2 linked regions of the Ovis aries genome follow. The protein of the gene in region 2 interacts with the protein of the main gene of each other region in a biochemical or structural test. Links are inferred from orthologs where the notes say so. Each region holds a gene or a part of one and is shown on either strand. Other genes may lie near its edges.

Region 1 (3,803 bases), on a different chromosome or scaffold from region 2:
TCCCCTGAACCCTAGTGAGACCTCAGGACAGTTGAAAGGACTGAAGGGAAAGGAGTATTGGGAGCCATTCTGGCCAATGTGGAAGCAAGGAATGCCCAAATGATCCTTACGGCTCCTCTCTAGTCCCATGACCCAAGAGCCCATACTTCCTCTGAGTATCAAATGGGAACTGCGTGGTCTAGAGCCAGGGAAACAGGCTGTGGAGTTTTATTAGACGTTAAGATTTTTTTCAAGGAACAGAAATATAAAGCAATCTGCCAGCAGCCCCTCCCTCTAGGGAATCTGGTGCTAAATCATTCCATCCATGAGCAAAGATGCCTCGGCAGCAAGAATCTGACTCCCCTTTCCGCTGTTTGCAGTGTTGTTCCCACTGACTGTATGGGGGCAGGGAGGAAAGGGCTGGTGGCTGGAAATCAAACCCTGGGGGAGCAGGGCTGCTGGGTGGTGAGAGCAGCCACTTTCTCATTGGTAACAGGCGCCCTTCCCCCCCCCCCCCCCCCCCCCCCGTCTTGGCACCAGAGTCCTGATGATTGGCTGTTCATTTGCTTTGGCCCTGAGCTGTCTCCGTCTCTTATCTGTCCAGAGAGATGAAAACTCTGAGAGAAATGAGCAGGTCGGAATTCCCAGAGTGGAGTCAGGATTTGAACCCAAGGTCCCATCCCTCTGCCTTTTGTTCTTGGGTACAGACACCTCCCATTTGATACTTAATATATGGAATGGTAGGATTAAGGACTGAGAGTAGAGCTCTGCTAGGCTTTCTTAGAAAAAGATTCTCCTCAGGGTAGACGCAGGTGTGCAGCTTAGCAAGTGGCATTTGGGCTAGATTTCAGCTTCAAGTTGTCCCCTTGGCTGGGAGCCCTGAGCAAGCTGCAACTTGGCTGCTGGTTCCTGACCGCCGCCCAAAGGCCCTCTGCTGGTCCTCAGGTTACCTTCCCCACATGGTGTATCCTTGGGATTCCAGGAGTTACTGTAACCCCAAGGTGAACTTTGCAGAAGGTCAGCATCCGAGGCTCTGATCTCACAACCCAGCAGCTTGCAGGGGTGTGCTGTCCCCCTGCCCTTCTTCCCTGTCAGCTTTCAAATGCCAAAGCCTCCCTGGTGAGCTCATCCCAGGCCAGGTGGTTCCAATAGAAGGCTTTAGGAAGGGGTGTTTGCTCCCTCAGAATACATCCTGTCCCCTTTCTCTTGCCAGTCTGACCTTCTGATCTTCCCCCATCCAGGTGTCCCTTGGAGGTGCCAAGGAGGCGTGCCCCACGGGCCTGTACACCCACAGCGGAGAGTGCTGCAAAGCCTGCAACCTGGGTGAGGGTGTGGCCCAGCCTTGTGGAGCCAACCAGACCGTGTGTGAACCCTGCCTGGACAGTAAGTAGAAAGTGTCTGGTGGGGGAAGAAGAGCAGAATGGAAGGGAGAGCAAGGGGACTGGCGGGCATGCCCAGTAGAGGCCTTTCAGGCGCTCTGGGTTCTGGCAGGAACTCCTGCCCACCGCCGCATGGGTGCCATAAGTGAGTCTATGGATGAGGGAAGTATGCAGAGGGAGAAGGGGGCCTGATGGGGGATGCCCAGGGGGTGCCCGTTCCCAGCCCCCAAGTAGAGAGGCCTAGTAGAAGAGTGTGGCTAGGTGGGAGGAGTAGCTGATGCTAAGATCAGCTAAAAATATCATCTGCTGTGCAAAATCAATGGCTGCCACTTACCCTCGGTGCATTTGGGGGGAGGGGAAGAGGATCAAATCCTAGCTACCCTGGAGACTGACCTTGGGGGATCCTGGGAGGGTGTGGCTACCAACACCCATCAGCCCCCAGCACCTCCCACTACCCAACCACCACCACCACCCTGCCCCACCACTGCTCTCCAGGGCAACTGTACTCCAGTCCTGACAGAGGAAACAGGGTTTTCCCCAGGCTACAGGGATGGGGGTTGGAGCATTACAAGGATGTCCTTACTGGGGAGTGATGCTGGGTGCATCAGCGGGGAGGGGCGCTGTGGCCATTCCTACCTGGGATTTCCTTGAGGAGGGGAGAGAACCCCATCTTCCAGAGGTGCTGGATGAGGTGGTGGGTCTGTGATCTGAAATTCTGTGCCCTTGTCTCATCTCTGATGGATGCCCCCCGCCACCAGCTGCTTTCAGGCCATGAACCCTTTTCCTGACTCTGTCTGGAAACCTTTCCTGTCGACAGTTAGGTCCTGCCTTCTACCTGACACTCCGTGCCCCCCGGGGGGCCAGTGGGAACTCTACTCAGATTGTTCTTCAATCATGTTGGGACCAGGGTATAGGAACTGGGAACTCTGGATCCGCTTGTCTTACCTTGAATGTCTTGCCACCGCTGCCACCACCACCACCTCCAGGCACCACACTGCACACAGCATCCCTCCTTCAGGCAACCCCAACTCCTTGGTGTCCCAAACACAGCTTTCCTATTTCTGTGCTTGTGGATCCTGTAACTCCATCCCCCAGCAGAGGGATGCCAGGTAGGGAAGGCTAGACATCCCTTTGCTACCTTGCCATCTGGGTACCTCCCCTGGCCCTAGCCTAACAGGGTTTCTATCCCAGGGCAGGACTAGCCAATCACACTTGCCCTGGAATCTCCCATGTTTTCCTCTCATTTCCTAGACTCTCACCCAGGACCTTTTCTCTTTGGACTGTAAGTCTCCCAGGATGGGACCCTAATCCTTCTGTCAAAGCAAGGGCTGGGATACAGGAGGCTGAGAGAGGGCATCTCCAGGGAAGGGGAGGGGAGACAGGAGCAGAGAGGGAGCTCAGAAATCCCACTTGCTCCCTCCACTCCCCTCCCTTCCTCTTCTTCTCTCACATTTCCCGCCCTCCCCCAGCTGTGTTAACAGGCTGCCTTTAAAAGTCTACTTTATGGGATGGAGACCCCAGCGGACTTTCCCTCTATCCTCAAAACGTTTCCACAAGGAAACCCATTAAGCTCCTGCCTTCATTCTCTGCCAAAAAAGACCACATTTTTCCCACTCCCTAAAACTCTCTCCTAGGAGTTCGCTGCTAATTTTCTATATTTTCCCATAAGCAGGGCCCTCTCCTTCCCTTCCCATGTGGCTAGACCCACCCCACTGCCACATGCCAACGAGATAGGAGCTTCTTGTATAAATTGGACATCTTGCCTTTGCTGTTTATGTTTGGAAGTCCTTTCTGTTTGACTGTGCCTGCTACTGAATTTGTCATTGCCCACCCCAGGGGCCCAACTGTTACAGGATCCCTGCTGTGTGTCAAGTGCTTTATGGTGGAATTTCACTTATTCCTCACCAAAACCCTGTGAACGGAGACATTATTCCCAGTTTTACAGAGAAAGAAAAAAGCTCAGAGAGGTTAAGTAAGACACCCAGAGTCACACAGCTAATAAAGTGATGGAAGCAGGTTTTGAATCCAGATCTGCTCGATGCCTAGGAAGAGAAACACAGGAGTTGCTCTGCCAGAAGTGAGTTGAAACTGAAGGCTCCCTCCAGGCCCATCTCTATCTTTTCTTCTCTCCATCCACCCCGCCCCCCTCTCCCAACTGCTGCCCCTTTCACTTCTCTCTGCTTTTTTCCTTCTTTGCTTCTCCAGCCCTAATCCCAACCTCTAAGATAATGACCCTGTGCTCCATCTTGTGTCTGGATGCCGTTAGAGAAGGTTAAGATAGGACCCCCACAGCAAGCCCCAGTTTCCCTCCACTGGGATCCTAATCTGCTACCTCTGCTTCCGCATTCTGAGCTACCGTCTTTCCCCAGTTCTCAGATCCTAACTGTGTGCTCTTCCTGCCCTTGGAGCAAGGATACATTCTCTTGGATTCAGTTTGGCATGGAG
Region 2 (4,495 bases):
AGTTGAGTTCTCAGGACTGGCTGAGCCTAGGAGCTGACAGTTTAGTTGATGGTTTGCAAGTTCAGAGGTGCCAGTCAAAGAAAGAGAAACCCTCTGGGAACGTGGGTTGTTTGCTCATAGATATCCAGACTTTATATGAGTCCTCAGCAAGCCTTCCACCGCCTGCTGAGGGCAGAGTGTCATTTTCTGTGGCTCCAGTGGAGTTGCCACTGAAATAAGGCACTCCATGAATGTGCAGCCGAAGTGCTCAGCACTCATTTAAAAGGAAAGTTGTGTGATTTTCTCATCAGTTTAATCTCAGCAATGATGAGAAACTTCCCTCGGGCTCCAGCCCTGCCCTGCCGTGCCCTACCCTCCCTGCTGATGTCGGCAGCTGGGGCCCCCTTCCTGGACACTGCGCAGATTTTTCTCTGGAAGAGGAGCGTGTGAAGCCTCATTCCCTGCTCCTTCTGCCCCTCCAGGTTGAGTAGATCTGTGGTGGGAAGTAGGAGAAGGTGAGAACCCCACTTGTGGACAAAGGTTAAGGATATGGGAAGTCCCTAGTACTAGGATGGCTGCCCCGAGTGGAGCCAATTTTCCAATTCTCTCGTGGGTCTGGGGAGTTTTAGGGTGAGATGGCTGTCCAGGGATGGCATGGCGCTAGCAGCTGCTATAAAATCCTCTGAGATGCTTCTACAGTCCTATCCATACCTGTGTCCCCAGTCCCCGAGACCGTGGTTCCCCATTTCCCTTGGTGCCTCCTAACACTTTTCCCTTCAAGGTTGCCCTTTTTCCCTACCTGCACAAAAACATTGGCAAAAGCCTGGGGAGGATTTTGGTGGCATGTGATGTTAATCCCAACCCCCTTCAAGGACCAGAGTCTGAGCAACATTCATTTCCTCTCTGAGTCAACACCAGCAGGGCCAGCCTCAGACCCCAGACCGCTCTCACTCACCCTCCAACCCCAGTCCTCAGCTACCTCAATGTCCGGGAACACTGACCGTGGTGGATTGACATTCGGGTTGCCCAGGCTGACCTATGACTTCGCCACAAAAGAGACCCTTCCTGACCAAATGGAGTCCTTGTTCAGTGGGTCTTCAGAAGGGGAAAGTTTCAGACATTGGATAGGAAATAGCAAACACTGCGCAAGAAGGGCTGGCAGGGCCCAGCGGCCGTCGTCCTTCGGCACCACACTGAAAAGGAGAAACAGTCCCCTCCGGCAGACTCAAGCGACTGCTTCAAGAGTCTGAAGACCCTGGAGAGAAGATACTGGTGGGTCTGCCCCTGCCCTTTCTGAATTTAAGAATGTAGTTGGCCGTGCATGTGTGGGGAACGGGGTGGGGGCGGTTGGCACTGTAGTGGGTGCGCCCAGAGGATGGAGCCAGAACAATTAATCAAGTGCCTTTTCTCCAGGATTTCCATTGGCCTCAGATGACAGAGGGGGCAGAGATACCCAGGAGAGTCCTATTTTGGTTTCCAGCTGGGAACGTGCACTAAGTTTTCCTTAATACCCATAGCACCCAAAGGCTTTGCAGTAATACACTTTAATGCATGAAACACCCATAAATTATCCGACAAACTGTTACAACTTCCAACCTGGAACAACTTGGAAAAACCAGCCTAGCAAGCACGCTCTTTTTAAATCTCTCAAGTCACTAGAGAAGAGAAAGTTCAAGCAGAAAACACCTTCCATGAGAATCTCAGAATTTTTTATTTTTTGGAAAGCAAAAGGAGAGTTGTAATCTGAGTGAAGCCGCTTGTTTATGATTGCTCAAAGATGCCGCTCCTTGACCCCAAGTCCTGTCTCTCCCTCCTCCGGGTTTTTGCCGCCTGGACCTAAGGCGCTGCCCGCCCCACCCCTTCATGCCAACTTCTACACCTGGCAGCAGACAGCTGGAGGTGAGGCGTGTGACCCACGTAGCAGGACCTTCCATGGAGGCTGATCAGCAGGCTTCCTCTATCATCCCCTGGAGCCATCACTCAGGATTCCCAACCCTCCAGCGACCCTGCTCCACTCGCTGCACCAGGTCCAGAACCCCCTGCCGGGTTCGTCCCGATACCTGGGAGCAGCGTCCCGGGGACAGCGTAGCCCACGCGAGACTGGGCGCACACCGCAGCCCGCGCTCGCCGCGCATTCGCCCTCCGCGGTGCAGACCACCGCTCTTGCTGTCCTGGAGCGCTCACAGCCCGCGCATCCCTCTCGCCCCGCTCCTTTACTCTCCCTCGCTTGCGCGCTGTCCCCCTTCTAACCCTCGAGCTAGTCTCTGGCACCGTGGTGCCGCGACTGCAGGCGCCCGGGTTGCCTCCCGGACTTCCGACCATCCATCGGGAGATCGGAAACTCCACGACCTGATAGAGCGCTACTCCCCACGACTCGCCCGCCAGCAGAGGCTCCCGCGCTCCCGCACCCACTCGGGACGCTCCTCTCACCGCCGCACTTCAGCCCGCGGGACCTCTGGGGCGGTGGTGCCCGGAGATCTCGCCAGACCGCGATCCCTGCCTACCCTCCCCCTGGAGCCTAGCCACGCCGGCCCGCGCCCGTGCCCGCGCTGCACCCCTCTCGGGCTGAGCTCGGGGCAGACTGACTCACCGCTGCGCTCCCCTCCGGCTCCCAGCGCTCTCTGCTGTGCCGGAGCGCCGAGCTGCTCAACACAAGCTTCTTGAATTCTTAGCCCCTCCTCCCTGAGTCACCCACTCCAAATCCTTTCCCCCACTCCAACCCTCCCCGGCCCCAGTCCCGCACCTGCTCTGGCCAGGCGGAGGTGCCCGCCAGCGGGGGCTCCTGGGGACGAGAGAGGTTGGTCGATCTTGCCCCGGGAAGGCTGACTGGACCCGGCCTGGGAGGGGTTCAACCCTCCAGAGGTCAAAAGGAAGCGCACGCGGTTGGAGGGGCCTCGCGCAGAACCCGGCTGGCTGGGGATTTTCTGAGACACCAGGCTGGGGTACTGGTTGCCGACGCCCACGGGCCGACAAGTTCGGGGAGGGTGGATTTGCCCGGCTGACCACGCACCTCCCCGCCCCCCACCTCCCCACGCTTTCCTTCAGCATTGCCTGCAGCCAGCGCCTGGAGCCCGGCGGGAGTGTCCTTCCCCGTCGGTCGTCACCTTCCCTGCCCTAGGCTTCTGCTCCTCCTGCTCCTGGCAGCCACAAGAGACAAGTCCAGAGACCCCTTTCTCCCGGGACGCCTCCTGTCACCCTGGGAGAAAAAGCGCACCCAGGGGAGCTCTGCAAGATGAAGGTGCAGAGGCTTCTCTGACACAAGGGAGGGCTGTGGCCCTGAGAACCGTATCCCCCTAGAAGACCCTTGCGGGCAAGGGCAAGTCCTCTGTAGAGAAAAGGTGCAGAGTGCTTAGGCATCAGGACCTAGAATCAGAGGCTTCACTAAAGGCCCTGACTCAGGAAACTTCCTTCCTGGAGTCCCTGATCCTTCTGAAGTGAAGTGAAGTGAAGTGAAGTGGCTCAGTGGTGTCCGACTCTTTGCGACCCGTGGACTGTAGCCCACCAAGCTCCTCCGTCCATGGGAGAATACTGGAGTGGGTTGCCATTTCCTTCTCCAGGGGATCTTCCCGACCCAAGGATCGAAACCAGGTCTCCCACATTGCAGGCAGACGCTTTAACCTCTGCACCACCAGGGAAGCCCGATCGATCCTTCTGAAGTTGTAGTCATGTTGGTCTGTGTGTGATGCCTGCATTTTTCTGGATAGAGGATGCACAGCTTTCATCTATGTTGCAAGAGTTTTGTGACTAAACTGACCTAGGAAGACAGCCTTCCACCCCACCCCAAGCCTTACCCAAATTCTTCTTTTCCTCCACCATCTGTGCTTTCTGTGGGATGGGATCTCCTGGATCACCCTCCAAGATTTCTTGGGTTCTGTGCAGTCAGAGCTTGACGGGGGAAGCATGTCTGACCCATGACCCATACTGGCAAGGCAGAAATATCCCCAAAGTCAGATTCCCACTAAATGTGCATCATTAATTTAATAGTGTTCTGGGGGATTCATATGTCTTTGGAAATTCATTCCACCAACTCCTCTGGTGTTGAGCTTGGAGACGTGTTTCTTCAGTTCTTTCTTGAGCAAATTGAATGCTGAACCCCTACTCTACCTGATACCACAAGGGAGGAAGGCATGTGAGGAGAGAGAGAGGGAGAGACAGAGTCTCCCTTTATGGGTGAAGCCATGCCACCGCAATCAATGTGAAGGTCACCCACGGGGGCCAGACTTAGTGAGGCATAGGGATTCCTGCTCTGAGTACAGAGGTGGCCCTTGTTTCCCCAGTGGAGGGCACTTGAACAAGGGGAGGCTCTGCTTTGGCACTTGACACAGATCGATCTGAGGTCACCACTTCTTTCTGTTTTTGTCTTTGCCCCCATACCTAGGTTTACCCATTGACCTGAGAGGGATGAGGTAGGAAGAAAGCCTCAGGCTTGGAAGGGAGCTTCAGCTCTGATATGACCTCGTTATTTCCCAGCAAAGGCTTATCCACTTCAGTTGTTCAGATACAAACTGGTAGAGGA

Evidence for each region.
Region 1: the proteins of NGF (region 2) and NGFR form a complex in vitro, tested with the Homo sapiens proteins (2 studies listed by BioGRID and IntAct, with this or other methods). The link is inferred for Ovis aries from reciprocal best matches to the Homo sapiens genes NGF and NGFR.

What each region holds. Positions count from the first base shown.
Region 1 is NC_056064.1:36,834,735-36,838,537, reverse strand, and holds part of NGFR (tumor necrosis factor receptor superfamily member 16), read left to right. Parts: intron 1-1,220; coding exon 1,221-1,362; intron 1,363-3,803. UniProt on the Homo sapiens protein: Low affinity receptor which can bind to NGF, BDNF, NTF3, and NTF4. Forms a heterodimeric receptor with SORCS2 that binds the precursor forms of NGF, BDNF and NTF3 with high affinity, and has much lower affinity for mature NGF and BDNF.
Region 2 is NC_056054.1:92,707,026-92,711,520, forward strand, and holds the start of NGF (beta-nerve growth factor), read right to left. Parts: upstream 2,819-4,495; 5' UTR 2,723-2,818; intron 2,603-2,722; exon of another isoform or gene 2,570-2,602; intron 1-2,569. UniProt on the Homo sapiens protein: Nerve growth factor is important for the development and maintenance of the sympathetic and sensory nervous systems.